Linked DNA regions of Rhinolophus ferrumequinum. The protein of the gene in region 1 binds, or shares a complex with, the protein of each later gene. Links are inferred from orthologs where the notes say so. Each region holds a gene or a part of one and is shown in the gene's direction. Other genes may lie near its edges.

The links.
Region 2: SMARCC1 (region 1) and DPF1 share a complex: the UniProt entries of both Homo sapiens proteins name them as parts of the neuron-specific chromatin remodeling complex. The link is inferred for Rhinolophus ferrumequinum from reciprocal best matches to the Homo sapiens genes SMARCC1 and DPF1.
Region 3: SMARCC1 (region 1) and ARID1A share a complex: the UniProt entries of both Homo sapiens proteins name them as parts of the neuron-specific chromatin remodeling complex. The link is inferred for Rhinolophus ferrumequinum from reciprocal best matches to the Homo sapiens genes SMARCC1 and ARID1A.
Region 4: SMARCC1 (region 1) and ARID2 share a complex: the UniProt entries of both Homo sapiens proteins name them as parts of the SWI/SNF-B (PBAF) chromatin remodeling complex. The link is inferred for Rhinolophus ferrumequinum from reciprocal best matches to the Homo sapiens genes SMARCC1 and ARID2.

What each region holds. Positions count from the first base shown.
Region 1 is NC_046300.1:8,038,874-8,046,454, forward strand, and holds the start of SMARCC1 (SWI/SNF complex subunit SMARCC1), read left to right. Parts: upstream 1-4,577; 5' UTR 4,578-4,681; coding exon 4,682-4,876; intron 4,877-7,581. UniProt on the Homo sapiens protein: Involved in transcriptional activation and repression of select genes by chromatin remodeling (alteration of DNA-nucleosome topology).
Region 2 is NC_046298.1:37,699,832-37,707,339, reverse strand, and holds the start of DPF1 (zinc finger protein neuro-d4), read left to right. Parts: upstream 1-4,496; 5' UTR 4,497-4,516; coding exon 4,517-4,626; intron 4,627-6,018; coding exon 6,019-6,179; intron 6,180-6,266; coding exon 6,267-6,374; intron 6,375-7,508. UniProt on the Homo sapiens protein: May have an important role in developing neurons by participating in regulation of cell survival, possibly as a neurospecific transcription factor. Belongs to the neuron-specific chromatin remodeling complex (nBAF complex).
Region 3 is NC_046292.1:18,273,496-18,280,763, forward strand, and holds the start of ARID1A (AT-rich interactive domain-containing protein 1A), read left to right. Parts: upstream 1-4,252; coding exon 4,253-5,368; intron 5,369-7,268. UniProt on the Homo sapiens protein: Involved in transcriptional activation and repression of select genes by chromatin remodeling (alteration of DNA-nucleosome topology).
Region 4 is NC_046293.1:47,892,773-47,900,054, forward strand, and holds the start of ARID2 (AT-rich interactive domain-containing protein 2), read left to right. Parts: upstream 1-4,265; 5' UTR 4,266-4,756; coding exon 4,757-4,848; intron 4,849-4,963; coding exon 4,964-5,057; intron 5,058-6,118; coding exon 6,119-6,216; intron 6,217-7,282. UniProt on the Homo sapiens protein: Involved in transcriptional activation and repression of select genes by chromatin remodeling (alteration of DNA-nucleosome topology). Required for the stability of the SWI/SNF chromatin remodeling complex SWI/SNF-B (PBAF).

The sequences.
Region 1 (7,581 bases):
TATTCCAAGTATGTAGAAATTCAATTGATACAGGCATACCTGATTTTATTGTACTTCACTTTGTTGTTCCCACAGATGTTGTGTTTTTTTACAAATTGAAGGCAAGACCCTCCACCAGCAAAAAGATTAAGTCTTGCTTTATTGTGATACTCACTTTATTGCAGCGTTCTAGAACTGAACCTGCAATATCTCTGAAGTGTGCCTGTATTTGTATACTGATCTTTTATCTTCCAACCTTGTTGAACTCATTTATTAGTTTTAATGGGATTTTTTAGTGGCTTGCTTAGGATTTTACATATAAAGGTCATGTCATCTGCAAATAGAGGTCATTTTACGTCTTACATTCCACTTTGAATGCCTTTTATTTTTTTATTTATTTTTTCCTACTTGCCCTGCCTAGAACCTCCAGTACACTGCTGGATAGAAGTGGTAAGAGCAGATACCTTTGTTCCTAATGTTAGGGGAAAAGCATTCAGTCTTTCACCATTAAGCATGATATTAGTGATGGAGTTTTCATTGATGCCCAGGAGTTCTCAATGTCAGGTTGAGGAAGTTCCTTTCTATTTCAAATTTGTTGTGTTTTTATCATGAAAAGTATTGGATTTTGTCAAACTTTTTTTTGTGTTTTTTTCCCTGCAGCTATTGAGATGGTCGTGATTTCTGTGTTTTATTCTATTGCTATGAAGTGAAATTCAAATCAAATGGAAATAGTATTAGAGAAGAAACAGCTGACCATAGGAATGTTGACACTGATTATTCTTTGAGAGACTCAAGATACACAGCCAGAGGAACTTAGTGAAGCCAAACATCCACATAAATGAGGAAACTGTGAAAAAAAGTGATGAAGACATCTCAGAGGAGATGATACCTGTAAAAAGATTCACATTACAAGTGCAAAGTACAAAATGTTGGAAGCTGATCCAAATTTAGAAAGGGGTATGAGAATTTGACAAGCCCAAACCAAAAAAGCCTTGCTCGTAAGTTATATAATGAGACATTCAAACTATTGTTAATTTTTTCACCAAAATATACCCACATTAATTCTCAATTTTCTAATGCTTTAAATTATAATGTACTAAATAAATTTAATTTTACTGTGTCCATTTCCTTATATAATGATAACCGATTGGGTTTTTAATGTTTTGATTAAAAAAATTTAAAGGCCATGGAATAATTGTAATTTTCCCCATTGATTATTAAGTTTACTTTGTACAGTTTGTACTTGGACAGTAATTTTGATGGTATTGCACTCCTATGCTAAGAGATAGAATGTATTTTATTGTGGCTAAGAGATAAGGTGTATTTTATCATGGCCAACAAATTATTACATATTTAGACTTCAGTAGGTTTTAGAGGGACGTCTTCTTGCTTTTGCTATTCCCCGACTATCTCTTCTCAAATAACTCAGTCTTAAAGCCACTAGGTAGAGTAGAGCAAGGTAGATGTAAGCATATTAGGATGGGTTAGCATTCCCGTGTAGGAGCCAGTCCCTACCTGGGAGGGTAGCCCAGCATGTAGATCCGTTACAATAGGTGAACTGTTAATAATAAGTAAATATAGTAAGGATAATAGCAGCCAGATTTTTCATTGTTAGAGAAGGAAGTTACATTTAGTTAAGTTTGCATTTAGTCAAATTTGGAGCCATTTGGGTTTGTCTGATAAAAATAAATGGAAATTTAAAGGAGGAATGGGATATTTACATACTTTCAAAATACCTCCCCAGAAAATACCAATTAATTACAGAGGCATAAATGATAACTTCACAGTAGAGAAGCCTGGCAATTACTCTCTTAACCAAGTCATCAGAGTAATGGAAGAAATGAAATCATACAAATATATGGGGATGGAAGGAGAACTGACTCTGATTGGTGAACACACAATGGGATTTATAGATGATGTAATTCAGAATTGTACACCTGAAATCTATGTAACTTTACTAACAATTGTCACCCCAATAAACTTTAATTAAAAAATTAAAAAAAAAAATCATGAGCCACTTGATTGTATGAAATGAAAAGAACACAGTATGAAGAATATCAGCCAAACTCAAACTGAGGAACATTCTACAAAATAACTGGCTTGTAATCTTCAAAGTTGTCAATGCTGTGAAAGTTAAAGCCTAGGGACCAGTCCAGATGGAAAGAGACTTGAAACTTGACCTAATGCAATGCATGATTCTGATCTGGAATCTTTGCTGCAAAGGAGGTTCTAGGAGCAACAAGAAAAACTTGAATGGGGTCTGAGGACAGTTTTAATGTTACTGTGATTATTTTGTAAAAGAATATACTTGTCTGTAGGAAACTTGAGTGATGGGCATGATATTAGCAATATACTGTCATAGTTCAAGAACAGAAAAAGTTCTTTGTACTATACTTGCAACTTTTTGTAAGTTTGAGATTTAAAAATAAAAACTTTTAAAAAATGATGTAACCATTTTATTTAAAATGTCCATTTTTATAATGTGCTCTTCAATGATTTAATTTTTGATGAAAATTTTTAGATATTTTTCTAATATAAAAGGTGTATGGTTTTCCAAATTATTTTAGAAGTTATTTGAGCATGAAGTTGGAAGAACCACTGCCCTGGAAGAACCAACTTCCCTATGACTCCAGCAAATGAAAGAGCTTTCAGAACTACTCCAATGCGTTTTCTCTGCTGTACTCACATGCTATTACTAGAAAACACATTGTGCTTGAAAAGAGAGGGAAGTAGTACTCCAGGGTGTAATTCCTGGGTTCAAAAACCTGACTCTAATATGTACTTGTTAGCCAGGTACTTAACCTCTCTCTGCCTCAATATCCTAATCTGTGGGAATGCAGGTGTACTTAGCACAAAGCACCACACAGAAATGCACCGTAAACCCCAGCTATGATCATTTCTAAAGTCTGAGCCCTTAGAGGGCATGATCCATGTCTTACTCATATGTTAATCTCATTGCTTCTCATTCCTAGACTATTTATCAGGTCATCTTTTCTCCAGTGTTTTTTCCTCTGATCTATCATTCACTGTTGCAATTGTTATCTTCCTAATCTGTAAATCTGATCATGTCATTCTCTGTTCAAGTTGGTTTCCCAATTTTTACAGGATAAAGTCAAAATTCACTGCAACAAGCGAAATCTCTGTTTCCATCCCATGTTTAAGGAGAGTTCCACCAAGCATGCTTTCACACTTTAATGGCTTTGTTCTAGTTGTTTCCATGCATCTGAAATGTTCCCATCACATTCTATTCATTCTTAAAAGTTGGTCTCGGGCAGCCAGATGGCTCAGTTGGTTAGAGCACGACCTCTGAATAATGGTGCCCGGTTCGATTCCCACATGGACCAGTGAGCTGTGCCGTCAACAACTAGATTGAAGACAACAGCTGCTGCTGAGTTTCTGGAGGGGCCGCCAGATGGCTCAGTTGGCTCAGCTGGTTAGAGCGCAGGCTCTCAATGATGAGGTGGCGGGTTCAATTCCCACATGGGACAGTGGGCTGTGCCTTCTGCAACTAAAGATTGAAAATGGCAACTGGACTTAAGAGCTGAGATGTGTCCTCCACAACTAGATTGCCCTCCACAACTAGATTGAAGGACGACGACTTCGAGCTGATGGGACCTGGAGAAACTGTTCTCCAATATTCCCCCCCCCCAAAAAAAAGTTGGTCTCAAAAACTCACCAGGCTTTCTCAGTCACCTTCTGTTGTAGGGTTTGTAGGGTCATATAGTGTTACGTTCATAAATCCATAATGGCCAATCATACTTTGTTAATAATGTAAAACCTTTCCACCTCTCTCTGTAGATCATTAATGCATTCATCAAATATTCATTGAACAATATTTATTAGATAACAGGCTCTGTTCCCAAGTCAAGACTAGATTTTCCTATAATTTATGTAGACGATTATTAAGAAAAATACCAAGTGGCGGTGACTGCTACGCAGAGAATGTCAATTGAGTATGATGAGTTGTTCAAGTGTATGGTCAGGGATCGCTTTTCTGAAGTATCTTTACGCTATGAATTTGAAAGCGCCTAAGTGACAATGAGAGGGGAAATGTCGCAGGTCGCAGGAAGAGCTGCTGGTCGTGGGAACAGCTGGTGCAAGAGGCAGGAATAAACTGGTGTGGCAGGCACCCAAAGAGCCCCTGGTGGTCGTCCCCTGGGCTGGTTGTGTGCAAAGGCTGACGCGGCAACTTAAGTGTGTAGAGGGTCTGAGAGCCACAGCTGGTGCAGGTACGTATTCCTGCGAGTGGGTTCCTCCGCCAGCATGCGATACCCTGAATGGGCTTTCCCTTCGAAACTTCTCACACCAGCCCTTTCCTCTCCGGCGGTGGCAAACGATGACACAGAACCTTCACGCAGTTGCTGACCGAATAAGGATCCGACAAAGGAATCACGAAAGATCTAGTCGCGCAGGGGCCGAGACTGGGGAGCAGACGAGAGCAGCCAGCATAGACTGGCGGAAGAAGTCGGAGGAGGTCCGAACCCGAAGGCCCCTGGCGCGAATGCTGCGCATGCGTATGCGCGTGCAGACGTCAGTTAGGGCGCCGGTCCGAAAAAGGGCGGGGCGAGCCATCCGCACCGGAAGGGGGTTGGCTGGGCGGGGCCGGGAGGCGGCGGTGGCGGCTACGCGCGCGCGCGGGTGCGAACGGGGAACGCCGCGAGGGCCGGGGCGGGCCGGGCTGTGGGCACGACGGACGGCGACGATGGCCGCGGCAGCGGGCGGCGGCGGGCCGGGGGCAGCGGCAGGAGCCGCTGGTGCGGGAGGCGCGGCGGCGGCTGCGGGCCTGGCGGTTTATCGGCGGAAGGACGGGGGCCCGGCCAGCAAGTTTTGGGAAAGCCCGGAGACGGTGTCCCAGCTGGATTCGGTGCGGGTCTGGCTGGGCAAGCACTACAAGAAGGTGGGTTCGCGCGCCCGTGGGAGCCGGGAGGCCACGCGACGGAGGCCGGGGGCGGCTACTGGCCTCGCGGACCTCGGGCTGCCCCTCCCCCCCGCGCGCCACGAGGGACAACAAAGGCAGGCGCCGGGCTCGCCACGCCCCCGCGGTCAGCTCTCGGGGCCCGCGGGCGCGGGGGTCTCCCCCGAACCCTCAGGGCCCTGCTCTTTGGCGCTCAAGCATCCCGGGCGAAGCCCCTGTTCCCCGAACACGAACAGTCGAGCTCAGCAGCCCGGAGGGTGTGAATCTCTTTTGTTAGCTGCCCTATTAGGTGTGTGAACAATGATTGTTAAAAACAGCTTGAACCAGTGTGTAAAAGCAGCTTCGTTTTGTTTAGAGACTAGTCTTCCAAGTCAAGTGAGGTAACTAAGGTCTTACTACCTGTTGTTGATTTGCTAGAGAAGGAACATGGACGATTGTACTCGGAAGGTAATAGGTTAATGTAAGGAATTACAGTATTGATGGGAACTCGCGTTAAAAATTGACTGGTTTTACGATATAGTAGTTTTAGTTATGTATAGTAGGAGTAAAAGAGTTAACGTTCACTTGTACTTGAGGGTTTCTCAGTGAGGCCTTCCCTGAGAGCCCCATGTGTATTAGATCACCCCACTTCATGTCATCTTTATTTTCTTCGTACCACTTTTTATTTTTTTCATTTCATTCTGTTTCTCCTTCCTTTGGGATTTAAGTTCCACCGAGTCGATGGTATTGAAAGTTGTGACTTAACCCCTTGATTATAACAAATGTTTTTTAACTTCCCCTTTATGTAAATACTTAGGACTGACTCCTTTACACGGTGAAATGAAGCACACAGCTAGAAATACTCCTTCTGCCCCCAAGTTTCCGTAACACCCTTTTCAGTTCTGTATTTCCCTATTGAAGACCATAGCACTGGGGCAAGGAGCTTATCAGGCCTGTCCAATATACAATGTGTCCTTGAACATGGTTGGTACTCATTGCCTCGCCCTTAGTAGTTGCTTAGTAAATACTAGTTGAATGAATGAAAAGATAGTACTCTAGGAAGCTGTTCATTTGGGGTCTACAGCAGAGTGAAGCCTGTTGGCTTTGAGAAGTCCTTATGCACGAACAAGGGATCTTGGGTTCGGTTGACATTACACTGTGGTACTTCCAGAAATGACGATTTCTTATCTGAAGTTTTAGGAAATGAGAGAGAATATATATTATTATTCACAGTATATTTTTAGATGTTTTGATTATTATTTCCCCCTGAAGTTTTGGAGTCACATTTGGGATTGTAGATTGATTTTTCTCTTCTGTATGTAAGTATGTAAGTAAGAGTATTGTTCTCTCTTGTACAGTTAAATTGGTCACTTTTTTGTGTAGGCAATAGAGCTTCTGGAAGTGGCTAAGGTAATTGAACATATATGTAGTCGATATCTGTACCTATACATATAAAATGAGAGTATTATATTTTATCCTGTTTCCTTTAGCTAATGCTTTGGATCTTAATTTCAGTGTCCCTTAACGTAGTTATTTTTTCCCACAGTCTGGATTTTTTTCCTCCAGTTTTACTGAGTTACAATTGACATATAATATTGTATTACTTTATCAAAGGAGCTTTAACAAAGAAAGGTACTCAGGAGTAATATTTTTTTGGATTATCCCTTTGTGACTCCCATAGGACTGTTTTACTAAATCAAATATCAAGGAAGGGAGAAGAAAAAGGGAAATAATTTCTGCTTCTCCAAAGTCCGTGTCCATCTGTTGGATCCCAATCTTAAGAGAGCAGCTTGAGGCTTAGATAACCAGCAGGTTAATGTTGGTTCAGTGTCCCTGAGGCCTTAAGACAAAGTCAAAGTTAGGTTTGATTTCTCAGGGTTTCATAAAGCCAGACTGTATTTCTTGGGTCTACTCAGATTCAGAATTCAATCTGACAGCCGGAATCCTATCAGTTTCTGAGAGTGTTGTTGGAGTGGTGAAAGTATTAACAAGACTGTTCTTTGCTGCTTTTGTACACACTGTATCTCTACTTGTACACGTTGATGGGTTTTAACTAAACTTTTCTATTGCATTTAATACTGAAGTTTCAGATTGATCAATCTCAGCAAATAGATGAAATAAGCATGACATCGGTAGTCCCCTTTTATTGATGGGTCTGTCCGTGCAGTCAAGTGAACTGAGCATCTACCATATCCAGGCACTTAAAACGTAACTCACTGAAATCCTCACAACAGTCCTGAATGATAGACATTATTTACTTTATATTACACATGAAAGGAACCTGAGGCTCCCGATTTAAGTAACTTCTCTAAGATTGCTGGTAGAGGTGGCAGATTTGGGATTCAGTGAATCCTGCCTGGCTCCAAACCCGTTTTCTTTTTTGCTACACATCATTTCTCTTTGAGGAACTCACAATGTGGAAAAGATAGACATAGACACCTACCCAGGTGATTGCAAATTAGAAGAGAACTTCGTTGTATTTTCATTTTCTAAGTGCCCTTAGTAGATGTTCAGTAAATATTTGTTTAATGAATGAAAAGGTGAACTAGTTTAGGAACCTCTTCATTTAGGTTTTGTAAATACGTTTGGCTTAGCAACACGGAAGGGAGGTGAGTACTTTTTGGTTGGAATGAATTTCTGGTCTGCCAAAGAAGTCCAGAGGAGGGGACCACTTTAGATAAGAGGAATCCGAAGCACAGGGAGGTTAA
Region 2 (7,508 bases), on another chromosome or scaffold:
TGGATGTTGGAGAGCCGGAGCTGGGAATGGAGCACCCTAGGGAGGAGAGAAGGATGCTCTCGGGCGAGCCTAACCCCTCGCTGTATCCCCAGCAGCCAATGGGCGCACGGTACTCCCGACGCCCCCTGGGACCTGTAGTCCGGGCAGGGGCGCCCTCGGGCTCCGCTGCTCGCCCCTAGACTCCAGGTCCCGTCGTGCGCCGGGAGGCGCGGGGATTGGCCCAGCCCCGCCCCCGGCCCGCCCCGCTCCGCTCGCGCCGCAGCCCTAAGAATGAATGAAATCGTAGCGCGCTGGGCGGCCGAGCGGGCGGCGCAGGCCGGGCTGGGCCCGCGCGCGGCGGCAGCGGCGCCCCGGGCCGGAGGTGGCCCAGCCGAGCGGGCGATGGCCACCGCCATTCAGAACCCGCTCAAGTCGTGAGTGTCCCCGCTGTCCACGTCCCTCCACCCGCCCCGCCCTTCCCCCCGCCCTTGCTGGGGAAGGGGATGCACTGCGTTGATGGTAGTTGAATGCCCCCTCCGGAGCGCCCCCACACCCCTAAGGCGCCCGCCAACCCCTGTCTCCCCATGGAGTTGGGGGCGGGAACCCTTCTAGGGTCGCGGGGGCGCCTCTTCTTTGTCGCTGTCAGTGAAGGAATGTGGTGCGGGTTGGGGGATGGCAGAGGCCGTTTCCCCACCCAGAGTGGGGGTAGGGGCTTCCCTCTCCTCCTCCTCCATCTCTCCTGCTCCGTGTCTCTCGGGGCGCCGGGCCTTCCCCAGCGTGAGGCTGGGAGTACGCACGCCTGAGTCCAGACCTCAGTGTCTGGGGACTCCACCACCCTTGCCCCTCATTGAAACACCTTTCTCTCCTCTTCCCTGCCTCTTTTTCCCCGGACCTCGGTCCACGCGGCCGCAGGGTGGGAGCTGAGACGTCGGGGGTCCCTGTTGTCTCCTCTTTTTTCCTCCTGGGTCTTCAGGTCCTAGAAGCCCCGATGCCCCCGTCAGCTTAGACTGTGGAATCTCTCTCTCTTCCCCGCTCATACACATCTAACTCGAGCATCTCTCATCCCCTTGGGTACCAGATGCCTCGGGAGAAGGTGCTGGGAGCGCCTTTAGTCTCCGGGGATTCCCTCTCTCCCTGTTCGCGTTCCTTCCTCCGTGCGTTAGCTTCCTCCCTGGGCCCAGTGTCTGGGAACCCGGACACCTTCGTGCCTAGCTCCTTCCCATCTCTCCCCTCTCCTTGCCATCCTCATTCTTTCCATCTCTCTCTCCCTCTCTCTCTCTCTCCATCTCCATCTCCATCTCCATCTCTATTTCTTTCTCCCTTGTCGGGATCCCGTACACCCAGGTCCCAGCGCTCCCCACCCCCCTTCCCCTGGCGGTGACAGCGTGCTCGGAGTGACAGGCGCGCGGCCGCTCCCGCCCTCCCTCCCCTGCTGGCGAGCGCGCACTCCCTTCCCCCTTCTTCCCGGCTTGAGGGAGAAGACCAGGGGCAAGTGCCCGCGGCGCCGCACAAAGGGGCCGGGCGACCTCCCCCACCTTTCCCCCCGACCCGGTGCGCCTGCTGCCTTGACCTTGAGCAACATGTGCTGGGGGCTTGAGGAGAGGGGAGGGGCACGGGAGCACCCCCCACTCTAATGCCCCCAGTTGTTTCTGGTTTCTGGCGGGGAGAAGTTGGGAAAGGAGGGTGGCTGGTGGCTTTGCGGTGAGCAAAAGAGGACTTGGACAGCCGGTGTGGGGCTGGGGTCAGTGTGAGATGGTGTGTGATGGAGACACTTTTCTGCCTCCCTCTCATTCTAAGTCGTACTCACAGACAGATGTCTTCCTATGAGGACGCCATGCCCTCCAGCTGGCTGGGACTGGATTCCTGTGCCAGTTGGTGGATCTATCGGCATCCAGGCCTCTTCACTCTGACCCTGGCCTAGACCTCTAGGAGGAGGTGAGGGACAACCCATTGCAGGGACCTGGAGGCCAGAGTTAGCATTGGGGTGGAAGTGCCAGCACCCTTCCTTCTTTGCTCTCACTTTTCGAGGGTTCTGCAGAGGTGAGGATAGAGACTAGCTCCTGAAAGAATGTGCAAGTCTATTCCCCTTGGGAGTGGGAGGCTGGGGGTGCAGCCCTTAGGAATTCTGCCTGCCTGCATTCAAATCCCAGCTTGAGCCATGAATCCCCCCTCCCCCCACTTCAGTGTTACCATCTGTGTATTGGGGAATCATAACAGTTCTTATTACCTCTTGGGGCTGTTTGATCTTTGTAGAGCACTTAGTACAGAGCCTGACCCTGACTAAATGTAGTGATTAGTAGTAGTAGTGTCAATACTGATTTCATTTGTGGTCCAGTTTCCCACAGGGCATTGGGGGGTGGGGATAGGATTGTTTGGGCAGGGGAGAGAACTGGGAGTTCAAGTGTGGGAGAGGGGTCAGTGAAGGTGAGTGAAAGTGACTGACGGGGTAGGGAAAGGGAGGGAGACTCCTCTCTACCATGTTTCCCCGAAAATAAAAGCTAGCCGGACCATCAGCTCTAATGCGTCTTTTGGAGCAAAAATTAATATAAGACCCGGTCTTATTTTACTATGACTGGGTCAATATAATATAATATAATGTGATATAATATAATACTGGGTCTTATATTAATTTTTGCTCCAAAAGACGCATTACAGCTGATGGTCCGTCTAGGTCTTATTTTCAGGGAAACAGGGTAAGTGTCAGCCTGGGTCTGTGGGTGGACAAGGGCCTCCAGGAGGTGATGGAGTGTCTACACTCAGGCTCCAAAACGATGAGAGAGTTTGGGGGTGGGGCAGTAGTGAGCCAGGATTTCTGAGGCTAGGGACGTAGGGAGCAAGTGTTAGCGGGTGTGTTGAGGGATTGGAGGGTGGTGGTGGCAGGTGAGAGAGGAAGGTGGCAAGGGTACCCTCTGAGCTGAGCTGACAGGTCAGGGCCACGGCTTACTGTGGATGACGTATGGAATGGCTGTTATAGGGGCCTGGAGGCCATAGTGAGCATGCGGCTGCCACAATCCCTGACTTACTCCCCTTGCCACCTCCTTTGGGCCAGATGTGAAGCAGAGACCCCTCCCTCAAGGCCTTACCTCCTTGGGGGGTGATGGGGAGAGTGTGGAAGGGGTCTAAGACTAGAGGTGTTTGTGTGTATGGCTATGGGAGGCCTGAGGGGATCTCTCACCAGGGTTAGGTGAGGGAATCAAACAGAAGGGGTGAAGGCTGGTATGCCTCTTGTGTCTGCTGGAGAGCCCCCTGGTGGACAGGACGTTGGTAGGTGTTTTCATTTATGCGAGGCTCAAACCTGAACATAAAGTTTGGACTAGGAGTGCTGTGGGTGTGTGCATAGAGACTGAGCAAGTGTGTGTGACCGGGTGAATCAGCTCACTCTCTGGGTATCTCTTAGGGTGGAGTCAGTGTGGATGACAGTGGGAGAGTGGGAGAGAGAAGGTGGTAAGGCCCACTTGGGGATAGGCACCTGGGGGAGTGAATCCTTCCCTGTCACACCTTCAAACAGCCTGTTTTGGGAGGCTGTGGGGCATGTAACTTCACCTCTCTGTGCCTCAGAGTCCTCATCTGGAAAACGGGAGTAATAATATCATCACCCTGGAGGGTCATTAATCCCTGTAAAGCACTTAGAACTGTGCCCAGCACATGGTGGGTGTTCAGTATATTTATTCATTCATTCAACAAATATTTATTGGGCATTTACTATGTGCCAGGCATTATTCTTTCTAATGGTAACAATATCACCATTTTACATCTTAGTACATATCAGATCCTCTTTGTGGGATGAATGAATTTATTGAGCACCTACTACCTGCCAGGTACCTTTTAAAACACTTCACTTATGTCATATAATCCTTACAACATCCAATGAGGCACCACCCTCATTTTGCAGATGAGAAAACCGAGGCCCAGGAAGGTTAAATTATTTGCCCAAGGTCACATGGCTACCAAGTAGCAGAGCCAGTATTTGAACCTAGAGGAATATGGCTACAGCTCCTAACTAGCACTGCTGCTGTCAGGGCTGCGAAAGGTTTGAGTAGGGCAGGCGGGGGGTCTCTGTGAGAGTGGGACAGGATAGGGTTCTCCGGAGCTAGGAGTGACTGGAGGGTGGGGAGGGGGCGGTATTAGTGAGTCCAGCGTCTGCACGAGCCGCGGATGTTGGTGGGACGTTTGTGTAGGCATCTGTAAAATGTCTGAGTCTCCTGGCTCTGAAGTGTGTGTGTATGTGAGTGTGTGAGGTGTGGGAGTGGAGTGTGCTTGAGTGGGCAGCAGTGAGTATACATGTGAATATGTGTGTAAACTGCCGTGTGGGTGTGCGAGTCCGATGTGCGTGTACGCCGTGAGACCAGATGAGTGTATGAGTGAGCGTGTGTGAGTGACTGTGCGTGCTGCCCGGCCCCACCTCTGCACCCTCTTACCCGCGGGGTCCCGCGATCTCCCAGGCCTGGACTACGACTCCCAGAATGGCCCAGGCGGGCCCGCCCCGCCGCCGTGATTGGCTGTGGCCCTCTTGCTCCCGCCCCCCGGGAATGAATGGATGGGCGGCCTCCGCGCCCGCCCGTGCGCTGGGAGGACCGACCCGGCGGGGACCTGCTGGGGGCAGGACCCGGGGAGCAAGATGGCCACGGTCATCCCCGGCCCCCTGAGGTGCTGCAGGCAGGCGGCAGGCTGGGGAGGGCATGCGGGCGGGTCTGCGCGAGCGTGTGTGTGTGGCAGCTGGGGGTGGGGCCGATGGGTGTCTGGGGGGCTGTCACCGTGGGCCCGACTGCGCGGGGGTGCGAGTGTGTGACTATGGGTCTCTGACAAGAACGGGGTCCGATGCGCTGATCTTGGAGGAGCGGAGTGTGGGGGGAACTCAGAGTCCTCTTCGGGTCCTGTTCGAGGCAGGGGTCAGGTCCCACCCTGCGACTACCCGGGTTGGGGAGAGGGTGAAATGGCGGGGGGGTGGGCGGGCGGGGTGCGCGGACCTTGGTAAACTTGAGTGAAGCCCACACTACCTTTGTCTTGGGATGTGGAGTGTGTGTCACTTGTTTGTTTTCTGGTTTTTCTGGATATGTGCATGGAGATGTGTTTCATTTCTTTTATTCCACACTAGGTATTGGGTATTTGGGTCTTGGAGTGTGTGTACATGTCCTTTGAAACTGTGCATCATTTGTGTTCTGTGTCTTTGGATATGTAGGTATGCATCTATCTATGTGTAAATTTTTGTGTGAATATGGGTGGATTTGTCTGTTTTTATGTTGTATATGTGTGTGTCTTTGTGTGTTTGAATATATGGTATTTTAGATGTTGGCTTCTATATTGTGTATCTTTGTGAATGTGTGTATCCTGTGTGAATCTGATTTCTTTGTAGTGTGTGTGTGTATATGTGAGATTTGTCTGTGTTGTCTGTGGATATGTGTGTAAATGCATATGTGGGTAGTTTGTTTTAACATTTCTTTTAACATTTGTGTATGTGTGTTTGGATGCATAAGTGTATGTGTTTGGATGCATGAGTGTGTGTGTGTGTGTGTGTGGTGTGATCTGTTTGCATATTGTGTGTCTTTGTGTGGGTGATTTGTTTATGTTGTGTATCTTTGGATATGGGATGTGTATTTGTACATGGATATATGTGTGATCTGTCTGTTTCTATACTGTGTGACGGGATATTTGTGTTTTTCAGTAGATATGTGTGTGTGCACATATGTGAGACTTGTCTGTTTCTCCTTTGTGAGTCTTGGGATATGTTTCTCTTTGTGTGTGAATCCTATGTGATTATGTGTGATTTGTGTTGTGTGTTTGGATATGTGCATATATGGATAGGTCCCACTGTGTTTTTGTTTCTATATTGTGTATGGCTACTCGTTGGCTTACTTGAGTCTCAGGTGGGGGGTTCCTGGGTCCAGGAGCCAGGAGCGACCAGAAGGGACAGGTGAGGTTGGCAGAGTCGGCCCACCCGTTCCGGATGGCTGAGCCGGGGGAGGGGTACTGGGCGCCCTGGCGCGCCTGCCCTTGCTGACAGCAGCCCGCCCGCTCACTGCCTCTCATCGCGCCTCGCAGCCTAGGCGAGGACTTCTACCGCGAGGCCATCGAGCACTGCCGCAGCTACAACGCGCGCCTGTGCGCCGAGCGCAGCCTGCGCCTGCCTTTCCTCGACTCGCAGACTGGCGTGGCCCAGAACAACTGCTACATCTGGATGGAGAAGACCCACCGCGGGCCAGGTACCCGCCAGGAGGGCGGGGGCGGGGCGGGGCGGCGGCGTGGCAGCCGCGTTCTTACTGCTCTTCTCACCGCCCTGCTCACTCCAGGTTTGGCTCCAGGACAGATCTACACATACCCTGCCCGCTGTTGGAGAAAGAAACGGCGACTCAACATTCTGGAGGACCCCAGACTCCGGCCCTGCGAGTACAAGATCGGTGGGTGGAGCTGCCTGTGCCTGGGGGAGCCCCCATGAGTGTCCCCAGCACACTCTAAGTGTGTAGCGATGCCAGCGTGTGTCTGAGCATTCGCCTTATCTCCCTCCTAGAGAGTGTGTGAGTGGCTGGCTGTGTGTCTCCTGGTGTGTGCTTGGGTGTAGTCCAGAGTTTCCCGTCTTCCCTGAGTGACTGAGCTTGGGACGGTATGGTCTCCTATGTGGGCCCAGGTGTATTTGAGAGCGGACTGGTGTCTGTTATGTGTGTTTAAGTGTATCCAGTCTTTGTATCTCTTCCCTTGTGAGCTGGGATGTATCAGAGAGTCTGGCTCTGTTTCTTCCTGTGGGTGACCGAGTGTGTCTTGATGTGTTGGAGTGTCTGGGTATAACTCTTGCCATTGTAATAGAGTGTATCTAAGTGTCTGAGCCTCTTTCCAGGTGTTTCCAAGTGTATTAGAAGGTTTATTTTCTCGTGTGTGTTTGGTCTGTCAGGATATCTGGCTGTTCCTGAGTGTGTCTGGGTATAGCAGGGTGTCCGGGTGCCTCTTCTGTTGAGCGCCCAGATGCTTCGAACATCTGGGAGGTTATCTTCTCCTAGTGTCTGGTGTATTTCTGCTCATGTGTGTTGGTCCACCAGAGTGTCTGACCTTATCACTTCTTGAATGTGTCCAGTGCTATCAGAGTCACTGGCTATTTTTCTTCCCTTGTCCAGGTGTACCCAAGGTTCTGTGTGGGTCCAGGTGAATTAGAATGTCTACCTGGGTGTATCTGATTGCTTCAGAGGGACTGTGTGGATCTTCCCTGTGTATCCATCTGAGTGATTTTCTCTAGTTATGTCTATCTCCCCCATGTGTATCCAGGTGTATGGTAGGGTCTGGCTGTGTCTTCCCCATGTGGGTATGGCTGTCTGATGGTCAAACAGTCTCTTTCTGAGCATCCCTGGGTGTATCCAAGGGTCTGCATGAGTCTCCTCCACGTGTCTGGATGCATCTGAGTGGGTATGTCTCTTCCTTTGTCTGACTATCTCAGATGATCTGTCTGTATCTCCCGTGTGTATGTTCATGTGTATCCTGTTTGACTGTCTGTCTCTCTCCATATTCGTCCAGGTGTAAGTGAGGGTCTCGCTGAGGTATCCTCC
Region 3 (7,268 bases), on another chromosome or scaffold:
GAAATGTAAATTCCTCTAAATTGTTTAAAACTATGAGATGATTGGAAAAAGCATCATCTAGACAGGCGGTCGTTGAAAGCCCACTAAGCCTTGATGCCTCTGGGTTGCTCCTTTGAGATTCTAGTTGCCGGGCAAGCACAATTTTACAGCGAAGAGCCTTGGAGCGCCGTTCAGACTCCATTCCATTTTTCTCCGTGGCGATCCAGTTCGTATCTTACAGCTTCCGTTTGGGAGCCGGTAATATAATGAATTGCCTTGACTCTCGCTTCAATCCACTTTCCTCTCTTAATATGCAGCCCAAAGTTTTGCAGCTCGCTGTCAGATGGTAGTGCTAGACTTACACTGCTCCCAAAGCCTCCGCTGGGGCTGTTTCTGAACACGGAGTTGCAAACTTTAAGAAACAGACAGCTCCAGAAAGAAATCCACGCCAGGCTTTGAACTCTGCTCCTGGCTTCCGTCAACTGACATAGTTGCCCTTTTGCTCAAACTCGCAGCTCCAGTTCGCACTAGAGAGAGCTCTGCTGGGTGTCAGCTTTTTTGCCGCGGTGGGGACGCATGTGGGGGCCACAACTTGGCGCTCCACCGAGTCCCCGCGCCTTAGTTCAGAACCAAGGCAAATCCTCACTGGGTCCCTGGGCTTAAAACATCTTCCCCCAAGAGGAGTGGGTAAAGGAAGGAGCCGAGTTCAATCTTTTGTTTGTTGAATTTTGTATTTCGGACACTTAGGGGAAACAAATTGAGAGAGAGGAAGGGCTGTCCACCCTGCAAACGTTTCCCTCTCTTTGCAAACCCTTCAGGCCTGGATTCCACATTTTGCAGTTGACTGCGTGGATTTAACATATGTTGTTCCCTTGTTCTCGAGCCGAATCCATAAAATGAGAGCACATCCTCTGCCATTTTCAGTCAGTTTGTCCTGGCAGCCCTGCCCCCCTCCTTGGCTGCCGCAGCCACGAGTTATATTGCTCGCAGAAACTCCGCCTGATCCTCCGGGCGGGAAATCCAGTCCACGTTTGCCTAGTGCCGTGCGGTCGGGGATGGTGATAAGAACTCTCTTGTGAGGGAGCGAGCGAGACTTTAGTCCGGTTTCCATGTCAACGATTCAGTCCATATTTGCCATCAGGCTGTTGGTGGCAGAGGCGCTTTCGTGAGGGTACGCGCTGTCCTAGTCCTAGTTCTCTAATCTGCGCCGGGATTCCTGCGCTGCCTGGGTGTGGGGTTAAAAGGCAGGGGCCGTAGGGGAGAAAACTCCACGGAGGGAAAGACCCATAGACCCAAACCTAGGGCTCGCTGCTCGAGCCAGCCACGTGCCCAGCTCCGCCCCTCCCCCCCTTTCCCGCTGCCATTGCCCCTAGGGAAAGCTGATGGGCCAGTTTCTAAGAAAGTTCCCCTTCAACTCCGCAGTCCCTGGGATAATGGTGTGGGGCTCTAAATGTAGGGGTGTAAAAGAACAATAAAGGATTTGAGATTTAAAAAATATATAGTGGAAAAGGAGAAATCCCACGTTACCTCCTCCAACCCAGGTGGATAGATTTTTTTGTGCACTTTACCTCATTGTTAAATAAAAATGGTGGCTGTTTTCTAAACAGCTTGCCCACGTGTAGAAAAGGGATTTTGACACTTTGCGAATTTCACAGCCCTTGAAGAAAAGGGATGAGGGCTTCCTCTGGAGAGACCCATTCTGGCTTCCAGATTTTCACTGGGCTCTGGGTTTCCTATTACACTCAAGCTCTGAGGAAAATGGCAGGATAATTGCATGTAAAAAATTCCTCATTTGTGTGCGGGACCCAGGACTGTTTGCCAGCTCAGAGGCAGTTGATTAAATAGCCAAGCTCCATTTATGAGGCAGCCTATAATTTGGCTTCTAGGACCTAATGCATGGGGAGAGTTGTTGCCCCTGAGGACTGAGTGAAACAGGGCACTGGCCCATTCCAGTCAGTCAGGTCCTGGCGTTTGGTTCCTTCCTAGGAGGGCGGGGTGAGCGAACACCATTCTTAGATTGACAGGAAGGTGTTGTCTTATTAGTGTAGGATGCTCTTAAGTGTTTTAGGGATAGGGATGAGTTCAGGTTTTTCGAATTATTCATGGTGACCAGTGGCACAGACAGAACTCCAGGGGCCTGCAGAATCTGGAAATTCTAAGATAATAGTTCTGTGGCCAAGAAGTCTCCATTTGTAAAAGCTGAGGAGAGAAGAGGCCCTGATGGCTAGTGACTACATGGACCTCGGCTTCTTTTTCCTAAGGCAGCCTTAGGCCTGGTGAGGCGCTGGAATCTCCTCTGGCTTTTGTAGCCTGTCACATCAGAGCATTCCAAGTCAGCCTGAGGAGGAAAAGGCTGCTGCTGGGATTTGGTTGGGCCTGTAGATCCGGCGTTTTATATGTAAGCCTCCAGCTCAATCTGCATCTCTTAGAATGTAATGGTAAAACTTTGAAGAATCTTTTCAATGGAGAATAGAAAACAAATTGGGTTGCATCCATTTTCTCAGTGACATGTCAGACTGCCCTTTTTCTTTTAGCCATTCTGTGTAGCCATTCCTCTTCTGCAGTGGTTCCTTCACTCACATTCCTCCATCCCTTATAGCTTCTTCTGTGGTCTGTTTATAGGCTCACAGGTACTGTACTGGGAGACGGGATATTGGTCACTGTGGGCTATGTTCTCTTAGGAGACAAAGATGAGGCTTGGGTTCAGCTAGAAGGCTGTCATATTTCCCAGAGTAGCTTCAGTGGTGAGCATTTTAAGACAGTATTGAGATGACCAGCTTTGATCTCAAATCCATTCTGATAATCAGATCCCATTGTTGGATATGACACAACTTGACTTTTTTTTTTTTTTAAAGGCTTAAAGGCTAAGTAGACAAGGGCAACTTTGGGGACTCTGCTACTTTTTAAAGCCACTCTCCTCTGTCATCTAACTTTAAGTGATGGAGCAGTCCCTTCCCCTTTCTTTCAATTCCGTAAAATGGGGATAATCCGACCTCATGCCCCCAGGGCCTTGTGAGGACCTGTTACTGAGGGCAAGGGAGAGGGAAAACGGAAAGTCTGAACAATAATATGTCATTATGTCATTACATTAGGCTTGCAAAGGGGTTTAAAAGTAAGGTCCACTCTCTCACTCAGCTGGGTCGTTAGAGCGGGTTTGTAAAAGGCTTTGAAGAAGAAAAGTACGGTAGAAGTGCTAAGTAGCAGCCAAGAGACCAGGCCCACTGCCAGAGGGTCAGGCCTGGGCCTGAGGCGGCCGCGATCTCAGGCTGAGCCAATTCTGCAGACGCGAGTAAAGTTCACGCTGCCCGCTCCCCTCGGTGCGGCCTAGAGGAGACCGACCCGGATAGGAACGACGGGAGGAAGGCGGCGCAGGTTCCGGAAAGGCGCAAGCTCCGGGCCGGGTTTTCCCCGAAGCCTTCGGCGGCGGCGCTGCCGAGCGAAAGCGGCAGAGGGCCTGCTGCCGCCGCGGCTGGTTATCTCCCCTCCTCCTTTGTGAGGGGAAGGGAGCGAGTCCGTTCCACGGCCTGCGCCCGCTCCGCGCTCCGTTCCGGGTTTGCCAGGCGGCCGCGACGGCGCTGGGTAAAATGGCAGTGCTGAGCCTCGTGTCGGAGTGAGGGGGACTCGGAGGAGAGTGGGGCGCTCTAGCCGCTCAGTCCGGCCGCTCGCCCGCTCGCCCGCCCGCTGCCGCGCAGCAGCCTCGGTCCGCGTCGCGGCCGGGGAGGGGAGGCAGGGCGCCCGGCCCGCGCTCCGACTCTGACTCCAGGCGCCCGGGTTGCCGCTGCGCGCCCTCCAGCCCGCCCGTCCCGGGTCCCCCTCCCCCCGCTCCCTCCCTCCCTCCCTCCCTCCCCGCCCCCTCCCCCTCGCCTCCCTCCCTCCCTCCTCCTTTCTCCGGCAGCAGAAAGCGGAGAGTCACAGCGGGGCCAGGCCCTGGGGAGCGGAGCCTCCACCGCCCCCCTCATTCCCAGGCAAGGGCTTGGGGGGAATGAGCCGGGAGAGCCGGGTCCCGAGCCTACAGAGCCGGGAGCAGCTGAGCCGCCGGCGCCTCGGCCGCCGCCGCCTCCTCCTCCTCCGCCGCCGCCAGCCCGGAGCCTGAGCCGGCGGGGCGGGGGGGAGAGGAGTGAGCGAGCGAGCGCAGCTCAGCAGCGGAGCCCCGCGAGGCCCGCCCGGGCGGGTGGGGAGGGCAGCCCGGGGGACTCGGCCCCGGGGCGGGGTGGGAGGGGGGGAGAAGACGAAGACAGGGCCGGGTCTCTCCGCGGACGAGACAGCGGGGATCATGGCCGCGCAGGTCGCCCCCGCCGCCGCCAGCAGCCTGGGCAACCCGCCGCCGCCGCCCTCGGAGCTGAAGAAAGCGGAGCAGCAGCAGCGGGAGGAGGCGGGGGGCGAGGCGGCGGCGGCGGCAGCGGTCGAGCGCGGGGAAATGAAGGCAGCCACCGGGCAGGAAAGCGAGGGCCCCGCCGTGGGGCCGCCGCAGCCGCTGGGAAAGGAGCTGCAGGACGGGGCCGAGAGCAATGGGGGTGGCGGCGGCGGGCCCGGCGCGGAGCCGGACCTGAAGAACTCGAACGGGAACGCGGGCCCTAGGCCCGCCCTGAACAATAACCTCACGGAGCCGCCCGGCGGCGGCGGCGGCGGCAGCAGCGATGGGGTGGGGGCGCCTCCTCACTCAGCCGCGGCCGCCTTGCCGCCCCCAGCCTACGGCTTCGGGCAACCCTACGGCCGGAGCCCGTCTGCCGTCGCCGCCGCGGCGGCCGCCGTCTTCCACCAACAACATGGCGGACAACAAAGCCCTGGCCTGGCAGCGCTGCAGAGCGGCGGCGGCGGCGGGGGCCTGGAGCCCTACACGGGGCCCCAGCAGAACTCGCACGACCACGGCTTCCCCAACCACCAGTACAACTCCTACTACCCCAACCGCAGCGCCTACCCCCCGCCCCCCCAGGCCTACGCGCTGAGCTCCCCGAGAGGTGGCACTCCGGGCTCCGGCGCGGCGGCGACCGCCGGCTCCAAGCCGCCTCCCTCCTCCAGCGCCTCCGCCTCCTCGTCGTCTTCGTCCTTCGCTCAGCAGCGCTTCGGGGCCATGGGGGGAGGCGGCCCCTCAGCGGCTGGCGGGGGAACCCCCCAGCCCACCGCCACCCCCACCCTCAACCAACTGCTCACGTCGCCCAGCTCGGCCCGGGGCTACCAGGGCTACCCCGGGGGCGACTACGGCGGCGGGCCCCAGGACGGGGGCGCAGGCAAGGGCCCAGCGGACATGGCCTCGCAGTGCTGGGGGGCTGCTGCTGCGGCGGCGGCGGCGGCAGCTGCCTCGGGAGGGGCCCAACAAAGGAGCCACCACGCGCCCATGAGCCCCGGGAGCAGCGGCGGCGGGGGGCAGCCGCTCGCCCGGACCCCGCAGGTACACTGCTGAATGGGGAGGGGCTGGGGCGAGCGGGGTCCGGGGAGTGGGTGGCGGCTGCGGGGACCAGGCCACAGCCGTGGGCTACCCCCAGTCCGGGGCCCCCACTGCTGGGGAGCTGCCATTGTCTGGCTCTTCTCTCTTAAAATGGCTGCCTGTCTGCCTTCCTTTCCTTCCCTCCTTCAGCCTTTGTGTGGGGCTTTCCCTGAGGTGTCTGCTCCCCTTCTCCCTCTCCCCTGGTCCCTTTGAACTCCGGGGGTCTTCAAGGGGGTGCGGGGCAGAGTGCGGGGAAGGGGCCTGGTCAGGGGTGAGGGGGTGCTGGAGGCTCAGGTTAGGGGTGCAGGCATTGCTAGGAGCTCAGGTGTTAAGTGAACAATTCTTTGCTCACCTGCCGCTCCTCTCTGCCCCCCCTGCCTTCCTCCAGGCCGTCCCCCATCTGTGCTTTTAAGGAGGGGCCCCTCAGACTCGGGGGGACCTCGAGGGAGGGCAGGGGCCTGCTTGGGGGCAGCTAGAGGCCGGCCGCGGTTCACCCAGGGCAGCTTGGGCCACCTCCTGCTTAGTCTCCTTCGGCCCAGTGGCCTGGGCTTCTCCCTGGAAGTGCTGGTAAACAGCTGAGTGATTGGAGTAGTAAGTGCAGATTGCTTTGGTTTGGGATTTGAATTATGGAGGTAAAATCCTTCTGTCAAAGCCAGGAGACAGTTGGTCTTAGGTTGACATCCTATCTGTGATCTGATTGGCTCCCCATCTCCTGCTCTTGGCCATTTATAATTGCCTCTGATGTAATGGTACAACAATCCTGATGAGCTCATAAACTTTTACACTCTGCTTTTCTGCCAGTGATAACCCAAACCATCGCTGCCACTATCTGCCTTTTATTCCAGAGCTGAAATTGGCTGTGACCTTGAGGAGGGAGGTTTAAGCAGCAATACTGTATCAGCAGGAGCAGAGCCCCAGACAGGCTGCCCTTGTTACATTGTGCCTGAAACAAAAGAGGAGGCAGTGGCATTTTGCTTGTACCTTGGATTTATTTTGCTTGTTATGTTTTATGCAGCCTGAAATAGATTCTGTGTTGTCAGAACAGTAGCTGGGTTTTTCTCTACAATGGGTTTGCTGTTTGTTTTGGTTTTGTGACTTTTCTGATGGTATAAATGACTTCTTTGATGGCTCTGAGGATCCGTTTGTCTTGAGTAATTTTGACCCTGTTCACTTTGCAGAATTGAAATTATTTTACTGGATTTTTTATTGAGTGCCAAATGTAGGGTCTTTATGGGAGGAGATAATAGAAAACTTTTTTTTTTTTTTTTTGAGAACTAGAAGCTTTCAGAGAATTTCATGTTAGGTTCAAGAGTTCTGTTTTAAGGAAAGCTGGCCTCATTCTTTGTTTACATGTTGAATCTTAACACTCTTTTGTTAATTGAATTTTGGTAAAGCAGCTCAATTTAAAGGGAAGCTGACATCTTTCATGATCTTGAGAGGGAGTTTATCCTAAAGACTTGGCTTGGTGTTCCTGGAATATCAAAAAGGCTAGTTTTCTATTTTGTCATTTTAGAGCTTTAAAATAGAGGACAACCAATTTTTTTCTTTGCATTTTAAGGTATGTTTCTTTTTTTTTCTATATTGCAAGATAAAAAGATAGGACCTACAGTGATACTTAAAATTTGCTTAGAAATTACAACTTTCAGGTACTTTTTTATGCGTTCTCTTTTATTTTGCGATTTTTCCCTCTTCATGTTCTGTTTACAATGCTTTGATCAGAAATAGTGGGTATTTTATGGAGTCATGTATCTTTGCAAAGAGGAGGAAGAAAGCTCCAAAAGCTCCCTGCATATTCCCCTCCCAGCAGTACTCAGTTTACCTTTGTGGTACTAGGCTCACTTAGGCAGCTAATTAGCTGTATTCC
Region 4 (7,282 bases), on another chromosome or scaffold:
AAATCCCAAAAGCTTATCCAAGATGCTTTCCCAAATCATTCAGAAAGTTAGCCTACATAAAAAAAATACAGCAATAGACACAGGCAAAGAGCAACAAGTAGTGAAAGCATTCTTACCTTTCTTCTGAAGAGCATCTTTAAAAATATATGTAAATTTAAGTTCAATATCCTTGTTCAACCAATTCTTTTAAAACTTAGCGCAACCTAAAATAAACTTCAAAAATTTCTCCAATGAATTGACGTATTAATTCCTCAATTAAGTTTTTTCAGCTGTTGTAATCATATACCTGACATGCTTGTTTTGAAATTTGGTAAAGCTTTCTTTTTAAGTTTACTTGAATGAATCGAGGGAATTTTAAACATCACAACTTCTTGGTTATATATTAAAACTGATAAGGATCAGAGATTTATATAAAATAATAGAAACCTCTAATTAGGGTGTTCGGGGTTTGCAGTTACTATTAAAAACAACACTTTGCATTTTCACACCAAAAAGGCTTGGCCAACATTTCTCATCAGAACAGTAAATTATACAAATATAGTTTCAACAATTTCCAGTTATTGGTAATTTTTATAGGGATGTTTTCCATTAATGCTTGAAAACTACAAAGTACATTTCATTTTTTATATCTTATTAAATTAGAGAATATCGTAAAACTGTCGGACATCTCTAACATTTCTTTTCCAGGATCCACCTGCTCTATGCTGCCCACTATAGGAAACGCAATATGGTACAAAGAAATGTTACACTACCGGTATGCACTAAGGTTACTTTTAGTGCAATCCCATAAAAAATATTCTCTGGGTACTTTGAGTGCTAAGATAGGGTATTCTTGCAAGAGATAGGCTGATTAGTGGTAACCAAATTTATTAAATATAAAGAACATCAGTAGCAACAGACATGATCAGTAACTGTATCTTGGTAATTCACACACCAGGAGTAGCAATCTGGGTGTGGCAAAGGATGGGGCATGGAACTTTGTGATTGAGGCGCAAACTGCATAAAGATGCAGTTGTGCGTCAGAAAAAAAATATGAAGGTCAAAATCAACTTAAACACCTCAAAAAAATCATATAAAAATACAAATGATTGCTGCAACTGAAAATAACATTTGAAATAAATTATTCGTGTAACGCGTATTTAAGTTTCAGCAGAGGAATCTCCTTTTTCCTTAAACCTTTCTATTCCTCTCACAAGCAAATACCGTTAATATATTAAGCTTACTTTTGCCTTTCATTTTTCTAGTATTGGGGAAGTAGAACCATGTAATAATCTTACAAATATCAGGTTTTTTTCTTTGACTAGAGCATATTCAAAGTGTTATTAATTTAAATTCTAGCCATCAGACATCTTTCGGAATCCATTTTGTAGATGACAGCTTCTTCTGCAGAAAAGGAATTTTTTTTCAGAGTCCATTCTCCAGTTACATTTTAAATTTTTAAAGAAAGGCATTAAAACGTTACTATCACACTCCAGGTCTTTAGCCTTGACACTTGTACTGAAAAGCAAAACACACTATTGTATATACATGTGCGTATATACACAAAAATAAACTAATAGGAAGCAGTCAGTAGCTTAAAAGTGGCTACCTCCCCTTGAAAAACAAAAATATAAAATGTCACCCCTCCATTCTGCCCTTTGAATGAGAGACAAGACAACCAGATTTGCCCACTGCAGAGTGGGATACCAGAAAGGACGTTTCAACGTCTAACCTGAGACATTGTTAACATAGACATTCTAGGTCCCGACTCGTATGACTTAAATTTCAGTGCATGTGGCTTCGTTCCCAATCCTGCCCCATCGACACCATCCAGGGCCCGGGGCCGGACCGCGCGACCACCCGGGGCGACGGGACTGCCGGAATCCGCGCGTACCGCCCGCTCCGGGCAACACGGCTCCCCGGCTCCCGGCCGACCGCGAGTTCCCGGAGCAGTGGCCTCCGGAGATCCTAAACCCACGACTCAGACTAGGGTTCCCGACAGGGCCATAGACTGTGACATTTAAAAACTACTAAAAAAGTCTCGCTGTACAAGTGGCGCGACAGAGAACCTTGCTGCCGTACCGCGTCGCCCGGTTCCTGTCCCCTCGGAGCGGGCCGGGAGGCCCAGGCGACCGTCCGCAATATCGCACTCAGCTCCCGAGAGCGTAGAAGAGCAACCAAAGCCACCAAAGACGCCGCGGCAAGTCCCCGGAAAAGTCAGCCGCAGCTTTCTCTTCTCTCCTTAGTTACAATTACCCCCGGGGCTTCTGGTGTTTCCTTCGAAAAAAATTTAAAAAGTAAAAGAGGTGTTAGAAATCGCTGACAATTTCTGTCGAAGGAGATCCCCTCGGCTCCATCACTTAAGCAGGATTTCCAAAGTCGGATGCATCCTCAGCGGAGGTATTCCATGTTGACAGATCTCTCGCCTCCCACAAAATGGGGCCGAGGAGGCGGCCGCTGTCTCCTCTATGGGCGCCGCCATTTTGTGAGGCGGCGGCGGCGCGGCGGCAGGAGCCCGGGGTGTGTGTAATGGTTGAATAGAATGACCCCCTCTAGGGAATCCCCGGCGCTGACAGTTACGTAAGGGGCTGTGCACAAGTGCGGCGTTTAGGGAATCCGCACAGCCCAGGCCACGCAGCTCTGCGGCCCACATCTCCACCACCCCTAAGAGGACCGGTTGGGGAAAGGACAAATGACCAGGTCTCTCCCTCCTACCCCGCCCCCCTCGCCTCCGTGCGGCCCGGCATCTCCACTCCCCCCGGACGGGTCTCCGCCCCTCACAGGCTTCCGAGACATTCACTGGCCCTTGGGTGTCTGGAACCTCCTAGCCACAGCCTTATTCCGACCCCACTTAAAAGATAAACTTTACTTGAGAAATAAATCCGTTTCCTAGAGTGAGCGCCGGAAGCAGACTGGACTATGTTACATAATTTTTCTCACCACCAAATAAATGTTCCCATTGGAACCACCACCTGAAATAATAACCCATGCAGACATTTACTAGCCTGTGACCTTGGATTAGTCAGTGACTTTGCCCATGGTGGCAAAATGGGAATAATAATGTTTCACATATTGTGAAGCATAATTAACACTTGTAGCAAAGGGCCCACTCCAGTACCCCTTGCAAACTTAGGAGGTAGTATTTGTTGAGATGTTGAATCTCCCCTTTTAAGCAGCCTTTTTTTAACCTTCAAAAATATCTAAACGAGGATCGCATTTAAGACATTTGAGAGAAAGGAAAAACATTTTCAATATTTAATATTTAAGCCCATCTATCTTTAAGATACTTAATATAAAAAATATAAACGTTAATCATTATTGTCAAAGTTCAAAAGATTGCTTCCCAATCAGTTTAATTACAGTTTGCATAACTCAGCATAGAATAATCTAGTTTAAGACCAAAGGCAAGATGAATTAAGAGCATTACTCTATTTCCACAGAACTAGGACAGTTCACATTGTATTTAATTTATAGTTTGCTAAAGTTAGTTTGTGGATAATTCGTGGAAAATGTGCTAACCAGGCCCCAAAACACCAGTACAAGGCTCAGAAAAGCCGATTCATTTACACCTTAAAAAAAAAAAGGGTAACAAATTGACTTTATTCCAATCTGTGAACGATGCGTAGCGTGAGGAGCTGCCCCTCTGAGCTTCCTTTCCCTCCCGAGCGCCACACCGGTTCTGTCGAGCGGGCGGGGGACTCCCAGGCAGCCCTTCCAACAGCCGGGCCAAGGACGCGAACATTGCCTCCACCCCTAACCCTGGAACAACCGGTAGTGGCCGTTTCCCCGCACCGCCCCCCTTTCCGCCGGCTTTGTGTGCGTGTGAAATGTGCGGCACATTGCAGATGAACCCTAAACCCGGAGCCGAGTCTATTGTTCCCCGCGAGGAGCTGCCGGGGCGGTGTGGAGCCAGGCGCAGTGCCGCGGCCGGCCCTCGGGGGTCGCTGCGCGGCGCTGGCAGCCCGGCCGTGGCGGCGGCGCTGGCGGCAGCAGAGAGGGAGGCTGGCGGGGAGGGAAGCGGGCAGGCGGCGCGCAGCGGCTCGGCTGCCGCCGGTGCCTTCTGCCCGGGGACGCCCCGGCCGAGGCCGCGCGTGAATGTGTGCGAGGGCCCCGCGGAGCTGCGGCCGGAATACACGCTGTCACCCCGCTTTCCACAAACCACCACACAGACCTCCCCCTCCCCACCCCCAGCCCCGCCTGCCCCAGCCCCGCCGCCGCCGCCGCCGCTGCCGCCGCGGCCGCCGAAACTCCAGGGCCTCCGGTCGCCCCGGCCCCTCACCGTCGGCTCGCCTTTCCCCTCGCTCGCTCGCTCGCTCGCGCGCCCCCGGCAGCAGCACCATGTTGAATCGCGTCCCCAGGCCGAGCCGCCTGGATCGGCGGCGCTGAGAGGCGGGCGAGAGCCGGGCCGCGGGGAGGGAGGGAAGGAAGGGGTGGGGGCCGCGCTCGCCCCGCGGCTTCGCGCGGATCCGGCAGTCGCCTGCCCCTCTAGTTTCGCTCCGATTTCTTTAAACTTTTTTAGAAATTCCCCTCCCTCCTTCCCTCCTCTCCCCCTGGCCTCCTGCTCCCTCCTTCCCCTCCTCCTCCTCCTCCTCCCCCTCCCTCCCTCCCTCCCTGCGCCGCCGCCGCCGCCGCCGCCGCCGCCACCGCCGGCCCATGACTGAGCCCCGCCGCCGCCGGCCGAGGAATGGGCTCCGGGCTCTGGTAGGAAGCGCAGGGAGCGGGGGGCGCTTTTAAAACACCGATCTGGGTTTTTTTTAAAACCTCCTTTGAAAAAATAATGGCAAACTCGACGGGGAAGGCGCCTCCGGACGAGCGGAGAAAGGGACTCGCTTTCCTGGACGAGCTGCGGCAGTTCCACCACAGCAGAGGGTGAGAGCAGAACCGGGGGGGCAGCGCCGGGGCGAGCCGGGGCGAACGGGGCTCTCCCGTCCGGGCCGGGCGTGGGGTCCCGGCTGACAAGTGCGGGGCTTTCTCTTTCCCGCAGGTCGCCTTTTAAAAAAATCCCTGCGGTGGGTGGGAAGGAGCTGGATCTTCACGGTCTCTACACCAGAGTCACTACTTTAGGCGGATTCGCGAAGGTGAGTGGAAGTTTTAATTTGTATTTCCCTCTCGCTGGCCTCCTCCAAAAAGTCTCCTTTGACCCCGGAGTGGGCGCTCGGGGCTAGGGGGGTGGCTCGCGGGGGTAAAAGGCGTTCTTTTCGCTCGCAGCCGGTGGCACGGAGGCGGACGGCGGCGGGGCTGTTTTTGGCCTGGTGGCTCGCGTGCGCGCGGCGGGCGCGGGGCTCGGGCGGGCGGGCGGCCCGGCGCCGGCTCGCGCCCTGCCGGCTGCCCCGCCGGCCCGGCGGGGTCTGAGCGCCGCGGCGGGGAGTGCGGGCGTGCGGGGCGCCCGCCGAAGCCCCGCGTCCGCCCCGTGCCCGCGCCCGCCCGCTCGCTCGCGAGTCAGTTCTGCCGCCGCTGCCGCTCTAGCACAGGCGGAGACACAGACTCTGAGAGCAGTTTTCGTGCAACTCAAAATTAGCGCGGGCAGGTTTAACATCGATAATCGGCTGCGAAATGATCCCGGCAGCCGGGGGCACAGCCTCGGCCCCGTCGCCCTCGGTTTATACAGCTAACAAAAGAAACCAGGACCTGTCTCCAAATAGCCATCTTAGGCTTCAAGGCTAGGCAGAAGCTGTAGGCCTCAAAGAAGGGCCTATGGAGATGGATAGATCTGGGAGAGGGATGTGAATCGGCCCCGGCCCCGGCCCCCCCAGAACCTGCGGACGTCGCTGTCCGGAGCAGTATTGATCCTTTTGAACTTTTTTTTTTTTTTTTTTAGTGTAAACCGACCGCGTTGAGATTTAAAAGGGGGCGACAGAGGGACTTGCGATTGGTTATTGTCCGGGCTTCAAAAACAAAACAAACCCACCAGACACCCCCCACCCCCCAAACAAAACAAGTGCCATTAAATACAGGGTTCCTGGGTGAAAACACAGTGATTCAAGCAGCTCTTGCTTAGTAACTCTTACGGATCGATCCGAAACACCCATTGATGCCTGGGTATCTACAGATCTCTGTAGAATGGGTATTTATTTCATAGTTAGGTTAGAGTTTTCTTGGATTGTGCATTTTCAGACAAGCGTGGCTGTGTTTTTAACAGGTTTCTGAGAAGAATCAGTGGGGAGAAATTGTTGAAGAGTTCAACTTTCCCAGAAGTTGTTCTAACGCTGCCTTTGCTTTAAAACAGTATTACTTGCGGTGAGTAGTAGTGACTCTTGAACAGTATTTGGAAATAAGGGACTTATGGGGAGATTTGTTTTTAGGAAACACACACACACACACACACAAACACGCGCGCGCGTGCGCGCGCACACACACACAAACACACACACACACACAAAACAAACCTTGCATACCAGTTTCTAAACTTGTTCATTTCAATCTGGGAAACATTAAATATCTATAAAGTGAGGTTGTAGGATCGTGAAAGTTTTCCCCACCTATTTTTGTATTGTTTACATTTTTCATACAGAATTATTACAGGTGACACCCCTCCCCCCATCTTGATAAACATTCTTTTGTGACATTGTTATTGATTGCAGAGGAGCAGAAAGATGATGCTTAGTAAAAGAGTTAAGATAGTTAATGAAACTTTGTATCCCCTGGGAATTTTTTTCTTTGTTTTGGAAACTCCTTTGCCTTTTTAAATACTGACTTTAAGATTTTAGAAAAATGAAACCTTTTGTGTGGAACCGTGTCACTGAGTAGTTTTTCAGTAGAATATTTCTATATAGCATAACATAACATGTTGGTGCTTTAATGACTAGGATTGTTTTTAGAATATTTTTTTTTTGAATTAGTAAAAAATGTTCAAAATGATTATTATATATTTAGGAAAATTAGGGATACTATAAAAGGAAATACTATGATTTGGATTTTCTTTCATTTTCCCCACCCCCCCCTTTTTTTTTACTTTTTTTAAACCAAGTAAGTTTCTTATTCAGTTGGTATGTGATACAATTTAGATGATACATTTTGTGATTTAGCTTTATGTTTTTCTCCCAGGCATATTTTTATACTGTAATTTATTATGAGGTCATCTTTTATTTTTAATGTTTACTTACCCATAAAGGGTCCTTAGTTGGTGATTGTTATTTAAAACTAAAATAATGCTCTTCATATTTATTATTTTTTAATAATGATATTATGGGATGGTCGTTTTTAGATAACGTGGCTTCTGCATCATTTGAGTTTGGCATTTATTGCTCCAAATGCAATATCAAAGTAGATATTCTGTGTTATGTCTAGCATTCTGAAATAGGAA